Linked DNA regions of Arabidopsis thaliana. The protein of the gene in region 2 interacts with the protein of the main gene of each other region in a pairwise test. Each region holds a gene or a part of one and is shown on either strand. Other genes may lie near its edges.

The links.
Region 1: the proteins of ATG2 (region 2) and AT5G10350 interact in a protein complementation assay, tested with the Arabidopsis thaliana proteins (one study listed by BioGRID).

Annotation. Positions count from the first base shown.
Region 1 is NC_003076.8:3,253,226-3,260,381, forward strand, and holds AT5G10350 (RNA-binding (RRM/RBD/RNP motifs) family protein), read right to left. Parts: upstream 4,587-7,156; 5' UTR 4,522-4,586; coding exon 4,411-4,521; intron 4,321-4,410; coding exon 4,218-4,320; intron 4,076-4,217; coding exon 4,005-4,075; exon of another isoform or gene 2,989-4,004; coding exon 2,797-2,988; intron 2,715-2,796; coding exon 2,587-2,714; coding exon of another isoform or gene 2,583-2,586; exon of another isoform or gene 2,498-2,582; coding exon 2,449-2,497; 3' UTR 2,011-2,448; downstream 1-2,010. Other genes in the region: AT5G10340 (F-box family protein), read left to right, coding at 1-35, 622-1,820; EMB3010 (Ribosomal protein S6e), read right to left, coding at 5,509-5,747, 5,835-6,107, 6,205-6,313, 6,407-6,464, 6,757-6,821, 6,912-6,917. UniProt on the Arabidopsis thaliana protein: Involved in the 3'-end formation of mRNA precursors (pre-mRNA) by the addition of a poly(A) tail of 200-250 nt to the upstream cleavage product.
Region 2 is NC_003074.8:19,208,958-19,216,281, forward strand, and holds ATG2 (metallopeptidase M24 family protein), read right to left. Parts: upstream 4,753-7,324; 5' UTR 4,612-4,752; coding exon 4,518-4,611; intron 4,409-4,517; coding exon 4,324-4,408; intron 4,229-4,323; coding exon 4,079-4,228; intron 3,987-4,078; coding exon 3,833-3,986; intron 3,742-3,832; exon of another isoform or gene 3,663-3,741; intron 3,347-3,662; coding exon 3,131-3,346; intron 3,046-3,130; coding exon 2,909-3,045; intron 2,823-2,908; coding exon 2,731-2,822; intron 2,670-2,730; coding exon 2,469-2,669; intron 2,381-2,468; coding exon 2,304-2,380; 3' UTR 2,070-2,303; downstream 1-2,069. Other genes in the region: G1 (transmembrane protein G1P-related 1), read right to left, coding at 936-1,706; EM1 (Stress induced protein), read left to right, coding at 5,861-5,978, 6,164-6,504. UniProt on the Arabidopsis thaliana protein: Binds RNA. Associates with 28S, 18S and 5.8S mature rRNAs, several rRNA precursors and probably U3 small nucleolar RNA. May be involved in regulation of intermediate and late steps of rRNA processing. May be involved in ribosome assembly.

The DNA.
Region 1 (7,156 bases), on a different chromosome or scaffold from region 2:
CGACGAGGTGAAAAGATGTCCGTGGGGACATCTCGGTAATATCATGCGAACAAGTTATATACCGCCACCCCTAGGCCTTGAAGAACACCGAAAAGGATGGTAGTACTATTTAATGTTGGAACGTCAAATGAGATTAAAATAAATATAAATAATTACTAGTGGTATTAATTGCACTTGCAATTGTTATAAAATAAGAAAAAATAGGGAAAAAAAATACAAATATGAAAAACAGAAATTTAAGCGTACGATGTTAGAAGACATAATTGTAATAGAATTAGATCGGAACAAATTCAGATCGAATGAATAATAGATTAGATCGAAGATAAGTTTAAATCGAATGAGTAATTAAATAAGATAGGAACAAGTTCAAATTAAATGAATAATATAATTAGATCAAGATAAGTTTGAATCGAATGTTTAGTAGAATTAGATTTATTTTTCTTTTTCCTTTTGAAAATTTTACTTTTATCATACTGATTTGATGAAATCCGTTTAAAATTTTAAGATTTCTCAAATTCATAAAATCAAAAAAAAAAAGAAAACAGTTTCTAGATTTACTGATCTACCCTTTTATTTTTCTCGGACTCTGACTAGGGTGATAGGTTTGGTTTATAAATAAAGCATACGGAGGCTCTTGTCTTCAATCTATAACATTGAGAGATTCAGAGACAAGTATGGAAGAATTGTTACCACACGATGTGATAGAGTATCATATAATGGTGAGGCTTGATGTGAAAACCCTCCTCAAGTTCAAGTCTGTATCGAAGCAATGGATGTCTACAATCCAATCCCCTAGTTTCCAAGAAAGACAGTTGATCCACCATCTTAGCCAATCATCAGGAGATCCACATGTGCTTTTGGTGTCCTTATATGATCCTTGTGCTCGTCAACAAGATCCAAGCATAAGCAGCTTTGAAGCTCTGAGAACTTTTTTGGTGGAGTCATCTGCAGCTTCTGTTCAGATCCCTACTCCTTGGGAGGACAAGTTGTACTTCGTTTGCAATACTAGCTGTGATGGTCTGATATGCCTCTTTAGTTTCTATGAACTGCCGAGTATTGTCGTCAATCCCACCACTCGATGGCATCGAACTTTCCCTAAATGCAACTATCAACTAGTCGCTGCCGACAAGGGTGAGAGACACGAGTGCTTTAAAGTCGCATGCCCTACTCCTGGATTTGGCAAAGACAAAATCAGTGGCACTTACAAGCCAGTTTGGTTATATAATTCCGCTGAGTTAGACCTAAATGACAAGCCTACTACTTGTGAAGTTTTCGATTTTGCCACCAACGCTTGGAGGTACGTTTTCCCCGCGTCCCCTCATCTGATTCTTCACACCCAAGATCCTGTTTATGTAGACGGGTCACTTCACTGGTTCACTGCCTTGTCACACGAGGGCGAAACCATGGTTTTGTCTTTGGATCTTCACTCCGAAACGTTCCAAGTCATCTCTAAAGCTCCCTTTCTCAATGTCTCTGATGAATATTATATCGTCATGTGCAACCTCGGTGATCGTTTGTGCGTATCCGAGCAAAAGTGGCCCAACCAAGTCATATGGTCGTTGGATGATTCAGACCACAAGACATGGAAGCAAATATATTCCATAGACCTCATTATCACCTCTTCTTTGTTCTTTAGTGCCATATTCGCATTCACCCCACTAGCAGTTTTGGACAAGGACAAGTTATTGTTTTATGATAGTACACACGGGGATGCATTCCTAACACATGATCCAGATACCAAATCTTATGATTTGCCTTACACATCTAATCGCTGTGCAACTGTTGTTTGTTATTTCCCGAGTTTAATTTCTATTTTGTAGACTTGAATGATTGGTTATTTGTCCAAGCATTCTTTTTTGGTCGTTATTTGTCCAAGCATTCTAGTTTCTGATTAGTTTACTCACTGGGTTATGAATTACTATGTTTTATCAATATCAACATCACATTACAAATTTTCATAAATTTAATGTTTTGATTATACCATACATCAAAAGTACTAATGACGAGAAGAAAAAACATTATTCTTTTTTTTACTCTGTAATCATCGATTCTCCAAACCGAAAAGATAACAAATACTATAAGGAATAAGGGATTTGATTATACCATACATCATTGATTAGTAAAGGTTAGCTTCTGACTAAGGGATTTTTTGCGGAAACATAATAGCTTCTTACAAAGGCTTCTCTACGTAACATCAATCTTCTTGTTGGTATACTTATTTAGCCCCCTTTGGATGAAAGAAAGTACTAACAAAGATATAAACTGAAAGTAATATCGACCAAATATAATCATAATCTAAAGAAACAAAAGCTTATAATCTCATCCGTACATGACAGATTCAAAATTAAGTTCAGGTGCGAGCAAAGTCATATTCATATATAAAGCTCGAAATGGAGGGACGACCTCGGCATCATCTCTGTCATAGTTCTTCTTATTCCGGTACGGTTTCTATTGGTAAGGCATGTACCGCATTGGCCTTCTGAACCTAGGAGCCTTCCTGCACGAGGCATTGCCGAGTCTCGTGAGACGAAGAAGAGAAAGCCATTTGTGATAAACTGATGGTAAATATGCAGAGTTTAAACTTACCCGTATCCATATGGGGAATAAAAATACGGAGGCACAAAGGGTCTGCGAAAGCGGTATCCCATTGAAGGGTTGAAACGCCCAGGATGATACTGTTTCATTCCAGGAACATTGGTTCGCTTAGGCGAGACCTGAAATGAAAACCAAAAGAGAAGAGTTGAGATCAATGAACTGTCCATTTCCTTCAGTATTGGTCTTAGTACGAGAAGATACCTTCAGTTGACGACCATGAAGCTCTGATTCATTCAGCTGCAGAGCTTCTTGCACGGCTTCCACTTCTACAAACTCCACATAAGCAAATCCCTTTGGCTGTCCAAACTTGTCCATTAGAATGGTTACCCGGTTGACTGTTCCGCATGTTTGGAAATGTAGTTGCACTTCTTCAGGTGTACAGGCATAGTCGACCTGCAGGGTGGATAATGAGGTCTTAGTACAACACAAGCATTCTTATTACAACTAAAACCATGACTTACTGAGAACGTAACAGATAGATAAGTTAACCACCCCACTAAGGGAAGCCAAGAGACAAACTTGTGTGTTCTAAAGCAATTTTCCATGTCTAACATTAGACCTAAGTTATGTATGGTACATAAACGCTATGAAAGTCTTCATTTTATGAGCGTGAGTTCAAAAATACATGATAAAAGGCCAGCATCAAACTGCAGCCTCTCGCGAAATCCGCAAACAACCAAACCTGTATTAGCTCCAAGTATCCTCCCTGCGGAGCTTTGGGTCTTGTTTAGAAAGCATCCAGCATCTTGGCATCTTGATCCAGCTCTTCAGAGTTCAGAGACCATCTCCTCAAGGATAACAGAAACCTTGCTTTCTAATCCCACCCAACTCACTCAGACTCCCTTTTTCCTCTCAAGAAATCCTTCTTTTTTTTTTCAAGCTCATGCAATATTTTTCTCCACATTTTTCTGCTATATCTTTTTTTTTTTTTTTCAAATTTTTTTCCTTCTCTTTTCTTTTTACTTTCAACATTTTTTTTATAGCTTTTTTATCATCAAATTGCACGGGAAGAATGATTTTAACACTACAACAAGGAAACTAGCAAAACAGTCACAAAACTTAGTTGAGAACCCAGAGCTATTAAGAACTTCATTTATGAGAACAACCCTGCGATTATATAGGACATAGAGGTCAAACTCTTCAACTAGAAACAATAAAGAACCTACTTCACAACATTAAATTTAGAGAAAGCCTCTTGATACAGATTCTAACAGTAATCTCAAGGGATAAAGAACAAAGCTAAGACACAATTGCAAGCAGTTCTTTTATCAAAGATGAAATTTAAGTTAACAAAATAGTCAGCCTAAGCTAATCCACACTAAGATTGGCAAACAGATCAAAGCCGTTTAGATGAAACAATGATTCAAGCACAGAAGAGATACCATGAAGTAGAAAATAAGCTATCTTACATTGCCAACATAAACTGATCGAGCATCCACCTCCTCCTTTCCTTCTTGATTTGCAGCCATACTAGCAGGATCTGAAACAAATTGTTAAGCAAGAAACAGAAGTTCAATTTCCTAAAAGTAATCTACACAATCAACAGATTCCTCCTAGTATATCAAATTCAAAGATAGTCTCGAGCAAACGAATTCAAAAAAAAAACGAAAGAGTCACAAAACCTTGAGTAGCTCCCATTTCTTTTTCGACTTTTGCTTGCATCTCTCGTAGCGCAGCAGCTTCTTCCTCCATCTCCTTTAATCTCCTCTTCATCTCAGCAAGCTCCTGATTCCATGAAATCAAAACACCAAAAATCAAACAGATGTATACACACGATATACAACAAAATCAAAATCGAACGAAGCAGAAGTAGACCGTAACGGCGTCCTCATCGGCTGCAGACATATCGATATCCGGATCGGGAACATCCGTATCGCCGACTTCAGGGATTTCTCCACCGTAAACCTCGTGCTCTTCTTCCTCCATTTTTGTTTCCACTCTTCGGAGCTCAAGCAAACGAATAAAGCTTCGCTTTGGTGAATGAAAACGACTTGCACACTTTTCCTACCGATCCAGATAGGTCGATTGCAAACAACGACGTCGTCTCGTATTGGGCCTCGGTTACAAACTTACAAGAGCCCATTATCATAACACTCTAACTGAATCTGAAGGTTTTGATTTTTCTTCAAAATTCAATTCGGCCCATCATAGGCCCCAAACATTATGGAAGAAACAGGCTTGTGAATAATTTATCAAATTATATCATGGATCAAATTAAATTTATGGACCAAATTAAGAGGTCTGTGAAATAATACTGCATAATATGGATCAGATTAATTTATATCAGAGACAAATTATCCACAAAAATATGATACAGTTTGATCCAAATTATTCCAAAGGTATTGATAAGAATGACTTTTCCCCAAAACATATCTACAGCCATTTGTTAAATAAATAAATTTTAATTGCAGTTAAGCAAAGTTCTTCGTCTTCTTCCAACCTTTTTAGTTTTTTACTTACCACTGTTGTAAAACAGAGGATTTCGGCGAAGATGGCATAAGGAGACAGTAGAAGCGATTCTCCGACTCCATAGTCTCCGATCAACACCAGCTTGAAGAAAGGAGTCAGTCTTCAGCGACGGGTCTCCATATTAAAAGAGTTTAATCGAGATTGAGTTTTGGTTCAAAACATTACACTTTTTGGAAAAAACACTTTAAAGGTAGGTCATCAGTTTATCTAATAATGAAGACATCTGGTCATTTACTATCAACAAACGGGCATATAAATAAGAACTAAATATAACAAACGTACTACTAAGAGGTTCAAAACTTTGATATAATAAAAGGCTTGAAAAGTTGACACAAAACAGAAACCAAAAATAGTGTTCAAAATGGCGTTCTCATGTCTGTGGAGCAACTTAAATACGACCAGAAACAAACTAGAGAGAAAGAAATTTCTTAATCTTGAGGCAGTTTAAGCAGCAACGGGTTTAGCAGGAGCAGAAGAGAGTCTAGACCTCTTCTTGGCCAAACTTTCACTACGGCGATCACGCTGCTCCTTTAGTCTGGAGGCAAGAAGCTTCTGGTAATCAGCTGCATCAGAGTTAGCCTTGGCGATTCTCTTCTTCTTGTCAGCAATTCTAGCTCTCTTCCTCTGGAGGGTCAATGGAGTCACAAGCCTCTGGATCTTAGGAGCCTTGCTAACCTTCTTGCCTGCACATGGAAGCCTCATATATTAGTAAATCATCAATCGTATAAACAGTTTTCAATTATCTCTTTAAGTGAATCTAATTTTCTTACCCTTCTTGTTTGTGAAGGTACGGCGGTAAGTGTTAACGTACTTCCTCACATCATCCTCTTTTCCAAGGTTAAACAACTTGCGGATCTTTGATGCCCTCTTGGGACCTCTCATTCTTGGCTTCTCAGTGTCGGTAAGCCCGGGAAGATCACTTACACCCTTCTTCACAATGACCAAGTTAAGAACAGACAGGTCAGGGCTCACAATGCAACCACGGACAGACTTTCGTCTCCTCTCTCCAGTCCTCCTTCCGTGTCCTCTAAAACAAGGAGTACCTAAACACAATAACCAGATCACATAAATAAAAAACACAGAAGATTAATGAAAAAAAGAGAAGCTGTATAATTTTATCAATGGGGTGGAATCTAGTACCTCGGTGAAGCAAAAGACGGACACGCCCTGGAGTGAGAACTCCTTGTTTCATTGGGAAACCTTGCTTGTCACATCCTCCCATGATCTTGAATACGTATCCCTTGAATTCCTGCAAATAGCTCAAAACACACACAATTCTGTTAAGTATACTGAACTCACAAGACATCAGAAAAAAACACTGAACCAGGAGAAAAAATTTCACCTCGCCTAGAGCATCTCCGCTAACTTCCTGAGAGAGCCTCTTGTCGAAAAAGGCGCGGCTGCATCAAAACAACAGAAATGAAACTCAATATCTTTACCAAAATCGACAATGTTGATTTTCAGATTCAGAACTGGTTATATATCAGACCAACGCAGTAAACATCATAGATTCCAGTAATGCATCAGCTATAAACAGATCCTAGCAGTGTGAAATAGTAACTATCCTACGATTCAAAGGTTTGGATTCAAAGAATTTTACGAACTTCATAGCAGATTGTTCACACTCTACACTCAATAAGCCAAATGTAAACAAATCCATGAAGAAAATGTGATTTAAAGCAAAGATCTTACAGTTTTTGATCGTCATCGATCTCGAGTTTCTTTTGACACCCGGTGGTCGGATTGGCGACGTTGAACTGCGACACAAACCAAAATCGATTGAATCAAACGAAATAACAAAGAGATAAACGAGAACAGAATTGATGAGAAGAAAAAGATGGAGCCACCTTCATCGTCTCCGATAGACACTGCTGCTACAACAGCCTGCGTAAGATGATTGAAGATATAAAATGCTCTCGACGCGGCTCAGCTTTTAGGGTTTTGCGAGAAAGTTGAGAGAAGCAACTTATAGGAGAACCAATAGGTAGGTTTAATTGAATTGGGCCTACATTTTATGGGCCCATAATTAAATTTGGGCAATTGACAAAAAATTGTTAAAAAAAAGTTATGGACAACAATTCTAAATTTTTAT
Region 2 (7,324 bases):
GTTTTTGTTGACTGAATCATATACCACCCACGATAAATTTGCTATACAATGAGAGACTGATGCATATATAAAGATGCACTTAAAAAAAGCAAAAGCAATAGCGTAACTGCGGAACACTTCAAACTACAGCTACATTAGTAGACTAGTAGTTGGTTATCAACCAACAAGCCTAAGAGAAGTGCCAAAACAGAAGCCAATGCCATGATTCTAGAGGCAAAAACTAGGCACCTAATCGACTCAGAAAGTACAAACTTGAAATCTCCAGGGCCAGAATTGCCTAGTTGAAACATAAGATGCATAAAAGGAATGCATGACCATCTTCAAGATTGTCAACAAGCTCAACCCATATTTATAAAACAACAAAGAAAGAGCTTGGAACCTCCAGAACAACTAAGAGGAAGCTCTGAAAGACCTGTATGTTCAACTCTTTTGGCTATAGTACCTAGTCATGATAAGAATAAGGTCACACAAGCTACAACTTTGGTGATACGTTTACAATTATATACCCACGACCTGATGAAGCTAATAAGATTCACTAGATCAATCTAATCTGTGTGCAGCAACAAAACATAGCTTCTCTAATCTGTGTGCACATCAACAACAAACAAAACATCCAACAACACAATGAATCAAGCAGCATATTTGATCCCTCGTCAAAGTGTTCTTTATTTGATCAACACAACAAGAAAGTAGATTAGCTTATAGCTTTGTGGAATCAAACAAAGCTATTGTATAGTGTATCACATTTCTCCACTTAATTCTCAAATAGACTCAAAAATCAAATCTCTGTTTTCCAGGAATATAACATTCCAATCTTCCTACTCTTTTCCAGAAACTATAATCAAATATAACCTTATAAGATGAACAATACTCACCAAAAGCTCGAACTTGGGGAAAATTTTGATTAACTTAAAAAGAATGAAGTTTATACCAATCTAAGAAGCCGCAACTTCAGCAGCTTGTTCAGTCGCCGCCGCTTCAATAATTTTCTTATTCTTCTCAATCGCCGCCGCAACTTCCTGTGGCATATACTTCTCATCATGCTTAGCCAAAACTTCAGTCGCCGAGAAGAAACAATCGAGGTTCCTAGCTTTCTTCGAAATAGGTTTTGTAGAAACTTCCTTCCTTACTTCATCTGTATACGGCTTAATGAATCCTTCAACCACAACTGAATGACCTTCCCTAAACAGATCCGGCAAAGATCCTTTATACCTAACCAAAATATCAGTGATCAGATCAGTGATCACAAACTCCATCTCCTGTGACGCCGCCGGCTGCGCAACGCTACCTTCTAGAACCAAACCACCGAGTCTGAATTTGTTCTTTGTTGGATTCTCTGCGAATTTCTCCATAGCGTCTGATGGCGTTAGGTAGAAGACAAGCTGATCCTGAAATTGGTTAAGGACGATAACTACGAATCCGGCGATGCAGCTGAAGGTTAGCGCGTAGGTCCATAAACGGCGATTCTGCATCTGACGCGCTTTGGCTCCGATATCGATTTTCTTAGGACGTGTTGGACCGCGACGAGCGATGGAGAGAGATCGGAGGAAGGTTAAGGATGATAATCGCGATGGATCTGGTGAGGCGGTGGTCAATGAGTGAAAAATCGGGCAAGGTGGTGATTCGAATGACGATGAGATTTGAGGATTTCGTTGAATTGATCGGAGGATTTGAGAACTTCGACGGAACAATAACCTAGCTGCCATTTTCCGGGAAGATTGATTTTTCCTCGTGGGAATCAATCAAATTCCCGAGAGCGAGAGGTTTATGGGGTTTTCTGGAAAAATGAAAAAGAAGCCACAAGCCGCCCCACTGAAGAACTATGGACCACGTCAAGAACCCTCTCTGTGGTTTAGAGGGTTCAATCACAATTTCTTAAGTGAAATTCTGATTACTATTCGTTACAATCTCAAAATCAACCAATCCAAAAATCTGTATAAGCTTCGATTATTGAAGAGCTGAGTTTTTTTCTTCTGTCACAAATATTTCTCTTCTGTGGGATCAAATCCTTACCACGTAAACACATTCAAAGAGTAGTTTGTTGGTAACAAGTGTTTCTAAACAGAGTTATTGTTATAGCCTGAAACCAGATAAGTATTTTTGATTAGAGAATGAGATAAGATTAGGACAAGCAAAGAAATGATGATGAAAAGTGCTTTGTGCAAAAATATGCACAAAGGTGGTAAACTATTGTTTGTTTTTTTTTGTTTAAGAAGAGACTCTCTTGAAACCCAAACATACAACGAAAGAGGTACCTCAAGTTTCAAAAATTCTTTAAAAGAAACAAAGACAAATCTTCCTACTCATTCTTGAGCATTACTACTTGCGTCCATTGGCTCAGCCTCTGTTGAAGCCTCTCCTTTCTCTCCCGCCTTTTGGGCTGCAAAACACCAAATTGAACCTTTTTAATCAACATGTGGATCACGTCATATAAGGTAAAAGTCTGGAAATTTATTTTAAGTTCTTACCTTTCTTCTTCTTTCCACCACCTTTCTTCTTCTTGATGCCCAAAGCTAACCACCCTTTGATCTCAGGGTCTTCGATGGTCTTTTTAGGAAGTTCCTGAAGTGTATGTGAAGTGATCCTATCTGATCCATTTGGCATCAGCAAAACTGTGAACTTAATCTGAGCAACAAAATCCCCTGGTAGAAAACCAAAACGACATGAGCCTTGATATCAAGATTCAGATAAAAGAGGTTTATAGATTCAAAACCCTTTCATCATCCTTACCAGGCTTCTCGTAAAGAACAGGATATGGTTGCAAATGACCATGGTTCACACACTCCACAAGTCCAAGCCGTGCCCTTTTCTCCTCCAGTGACCTGTATTGATAATACTCTCAGGTAACGTTAGCAAGTGAGATAATAGTTTAAGGAATATAAAATGCTTCAGAAGGTACAAAAGACACCTTGCAGTGAATGGCATACGGGGGAAGTTCTGTTTAATTTCGCTGATTATGAATCTGGAGGCCTTCATCTTCAACTGATAGTTAACACTTTCATCTTTCTTGTAAATAGTTGTTTGCTTCTCGTCTAATAGCTTTGGCTGCAAAGTCAAAGATTGTGAGAACAATGGCAATAGACAAAGGTTCACCAATAGTGATCGGGATGCGATAAACAAAAGAAATTACCTTGCCATCACCAGTACTTGCCACAATATCTATTGCATAGACTTCATTCTCTTCAAATTCCACTTCGTCAACAGTTGTTTCAGGGCTGGATACACTAAGCACAACCTTGTTTCCATCTATCACATGCTGTTTCAGCTGGTGGGAAAGAACACCTTCAACAATTTTGCAGTCATAAGCTGCAGCTACCTTCTGAATAGCTTCAGTTACATCAGTGTTCTGCGATAAGAAAAACAGAATATCAATGTCTTGATTGCAATATGTTGTAGTACTAAACAAGAAACTACAAACTCGTAGCAAGAAACTTTATTTTAAAGAACTTTCCCACATCAGAGTAACTACGGCCTCATTTGGATGCGAATCCATAACAATTACGGTCTTCATCCAGAAATCTTTTCCCAAAACAATTTACATTTGAAGTCCGCTAAAAAAAAAAAGCATCGTGCAAGACCAAGAGAGGAAAACCTTAGACAAAGTTCCAACATCTCATAGTAAATCCAACGAGGGATCAGACTAAAAATCAGAATAAGAAAAATCCCATCAGAGTAACTATGACAAAAAAGCATCATATGGATAATAATCCATAGCCATTTATTAAGTGTTCATCATCTGGGTTTTGTAAAACCTTGACAATCATTCAAGAGGCAGTTATAGTACCAAAAGCCTATAGTTTCAAGTTTAATGTAAGAGTAAAACTGATGATACCTTTTTTCCAGGACGTACGAGCCTTAGAGCAACATCAGCTGCAGTATTTGCGGCAGCGATAACATCAGCCTTACGCCCACTAAGAGGCCCTTCTTGAAGAACATGTGTGTGACCAACAAGGGCAATGAACCCATCAATATGACATCCCATATCGCTGCAATTGAGAAACGCAAAACAACATCAGAAATAACACAGGTGAATCATACAGAAACATCTAAAAACAGGTATTACTTGAAGACAACTTACATTTTAACCATGTCACCATCTTCCAACACAGACTCATCACTAGCAAGCGGTGAAAAATGACCAACAGTGTTGTTCACAGAAATGCATGTAGGGAACGCAACACCTCTCTCAATCTTCTTCTTAGAATTCTTGTACATGCTTGCTGTTTGCCTTTAATACAAAAACAGAAGAAAGAACAAACACATAAATATCTAAGAGTAATCCAAGGTCGAATCTACATTAAGAACAAATTGAGATATACTCACTCTTTAATAAAAGAGTCTCCTTTCTCACAGATATCAACAATCTTAGCTTTTGGTTTGCATTCAGCTAAAACAACCTGTAACGCCTCTGCAATTGAAAACCCAACAGAAATCAATACTCGATAAAGCTACACCTTCAAAACCCTAAATCCAAATCGGACTTAAAACAAGAAAGGAAGAAAGAGAGGGTGTATTACTGTTAACGATCTCAGCGGCGCTCTTGTACTTGGTGACGACTTCAGGAGAGGTAAGACTCAGCTCCTTCTCGTCTCTCTCATCGTCCGAACTCATCTCTGATAACTCTCGAGAATCGAAACAGGGGAAGCAAAAATGTTAGGGTTTAAGGAGGAGCGATTGGGGGAAAACTGGTGGAGAAGGAGAGAAATGAAAGTGTTGGCTCAAATAAAGGTACTAGGGTTTTCGCTATGTGTGCTCTCTTCTTCTAACGATGCCGTTTTGGATTAATCCTGTAACGCTTTTTCTTAATTGCGTTACTTTTGTACTCCAGTATGGGCCGAAGAAGGGAAGCTGTTTCAGAATTGTGGCCACTAAACATTTACCCTTAACCGGGCCCATATAAGCCCACGTCAAGTGGCGCTTATACGCTCTCCGTAAGAGAGCCAACATTTGGTATGTAATGTTGCAAATTATTCTTCAAGACAATAAATTCAAATATAATTCAATATTGTCCAAATATAGTGATGTACTTCAGTTGTGCACATAGAAACTCCACTAAACCAACTTTTAGATAGATGCATTCACAAATTTTCAACAATGTCGCGAAAGTCTAATCCACACCAGATTCTAACATTTTAATTATTATATTTAACTATACATACTCTAATCAGCATGAGTCAAACGTGTACAATAGCCCAAGCATATAATAAGACCAAAGTCAAACTCAAATAAATGTCTCCAAACTCAAAACTTGAAAAAGACCTAATTATTACATGGTAGATATGACTTTGTCGACAAGTAAACCAACTAATCCTCGAAGCTACCTTCTCTTCCCAGTTATTATGTGTGATCGATTTATAAATCTCTTCTTCTAATAACACCTATATTTTTCTTATGATGTGAATAAATATAAAACTTTTAACTTTAAAACATATTTATCCGAAATATTGCACTTAGATTTCAAATAGATAAATAATAGTACTATCTAACTGATATTGAAAAGACCTAACACGGAAAACAGTTTTATAAAAAATCCCAAATGTGGGTAATTATCTTGATTTCTTGGGGGAAACAGAAAATGGATTAAGATTAATCGGAGTCGTGTCAAGCAGCTCGTTAATAACTGTAGCAAGTTGACTGAGTAAGCATCAACGTGTCATCTCCGTAAAGCCCATTATTTCTAGTCTCGCCGCGTCTTCTCTTCCACGTAGCACTTCACTTTTTCTCTCCTTTTGTTTCCTTTGGAACACAAACGTTTCTATTTATAGGAATAATTACGTCGTCCGTATCTGTGTCGGAACATAGATCCAAATTAAAAGCAACTTACTTAATTACATATCGTTCGTGTTTTTTTCTTCAAAAAATGGCGTCAAAGCAACTGAGCAGAGAAGAGCTTGATGAGAAGGCGAAGCAAGGAGAGACCGTCGTCCCAGGTGGCACCGGTGGCCACAGCCTCGAAGCTCAAGAGCATCTTGCTGAAGGTATTGCCGTAAATTACAACTTTTCCACACTCTTTTTATTTTCTTTAGTTCGTAAGTAATGGTTTTATAAGGCTAGAAACATTAGATCTTAATATCTTAAGATAAGATTAATCTACTTATTACGAACCTAAAGTTTACTCTATGATCTCCATGTTTCATGGAATGCATGTATGTACACTTGTTAGGAAGGAGCAAGGGAGGGCAGACGAGGAAGGAGCAGCTAGGACATGAAGGTTATCAGGAGATCGGTCACAAAGGTGGAGAGGCGAGGAAGGAGCAGTTAGGGCACGAGGGTTATCAGGAGATGGGTCACAAAGGTGGAGAGGCGAGGAAGGAGCAGCTAGGGCACGAGGGTTATCAGGAGATGGGACACAAAGGAGGAGAGGCGAGGAAGGAGCAGCTAGGGCACGAGGGTTATAAGGAGATGGGACGTAAAGGAGGACTCAGTACGATGGAAAAATCTGGTGGAGAGCGTGCGGAGGAAGAAGGGATTGAGATCGATGAGTCAAAGTTCACCAACAAGTGATAGTAGTTACGAGCTACTAGTGTCCGCTGCAACAGTCTGTTATATATCATCTAATAAGTAACCTGCTTGTAGGTTCCGTGTTTGGCAGCGTGGATTTTAACTAGGGTCTAATGTAGCGCGTTTAGGTTTTTTGTGTTTTATATGTGTGTGATATAACTATGTATGGCTTGTACTAACGGCAGTGTTGTACCGTTCAAATGGTATGCGGTTATGTTATGTAATGCGGTTGCCGGTTGGTTTTACTTCGTGTCTTACTTGTGATAGTATGTTGTGTCCAACAACGTGAGACTTGATATGTTAAGATTGCAGCATATCAAATGGCTGTAGAATAGAAAAAAATCAGGTAGTAATAACACAGTTTCAAGTTGTTAAATAACATATGTATAGTCTAGTCTTTGTAGTTTCTCAAATTAATTGTATGAAGTTAGTTGGGTTACTAGCTAGTTGTTAGATTTAGATTATAAAAAGTTTGAGGAAGTATCATTTTTGTATATTACTGTTTTTATGTGGATACATGTTTAGAATCAATACAAAAAGTGATGAAAATAGTTAAAATCCACTACAGAAAACAAAAACATTCTGAAAGCAGAGAAGTGACAGAACTAACATAAACCCCAATCCTCGATATGAGCAGGAAATGCAAAAATGGAGCGCAAATACGGTAACATCAATTACAATTTCTCAGCCGTTTTGCTAAATTGATACAACAGGAGTTGTTTCTAGTAATAACGGTACATACATTTTACAAAATCTTTTAAACTAGTTGATGCCATCACTTGCCCACATTTGATGTGTCAACACCTCTGCTTTCGACAAAACC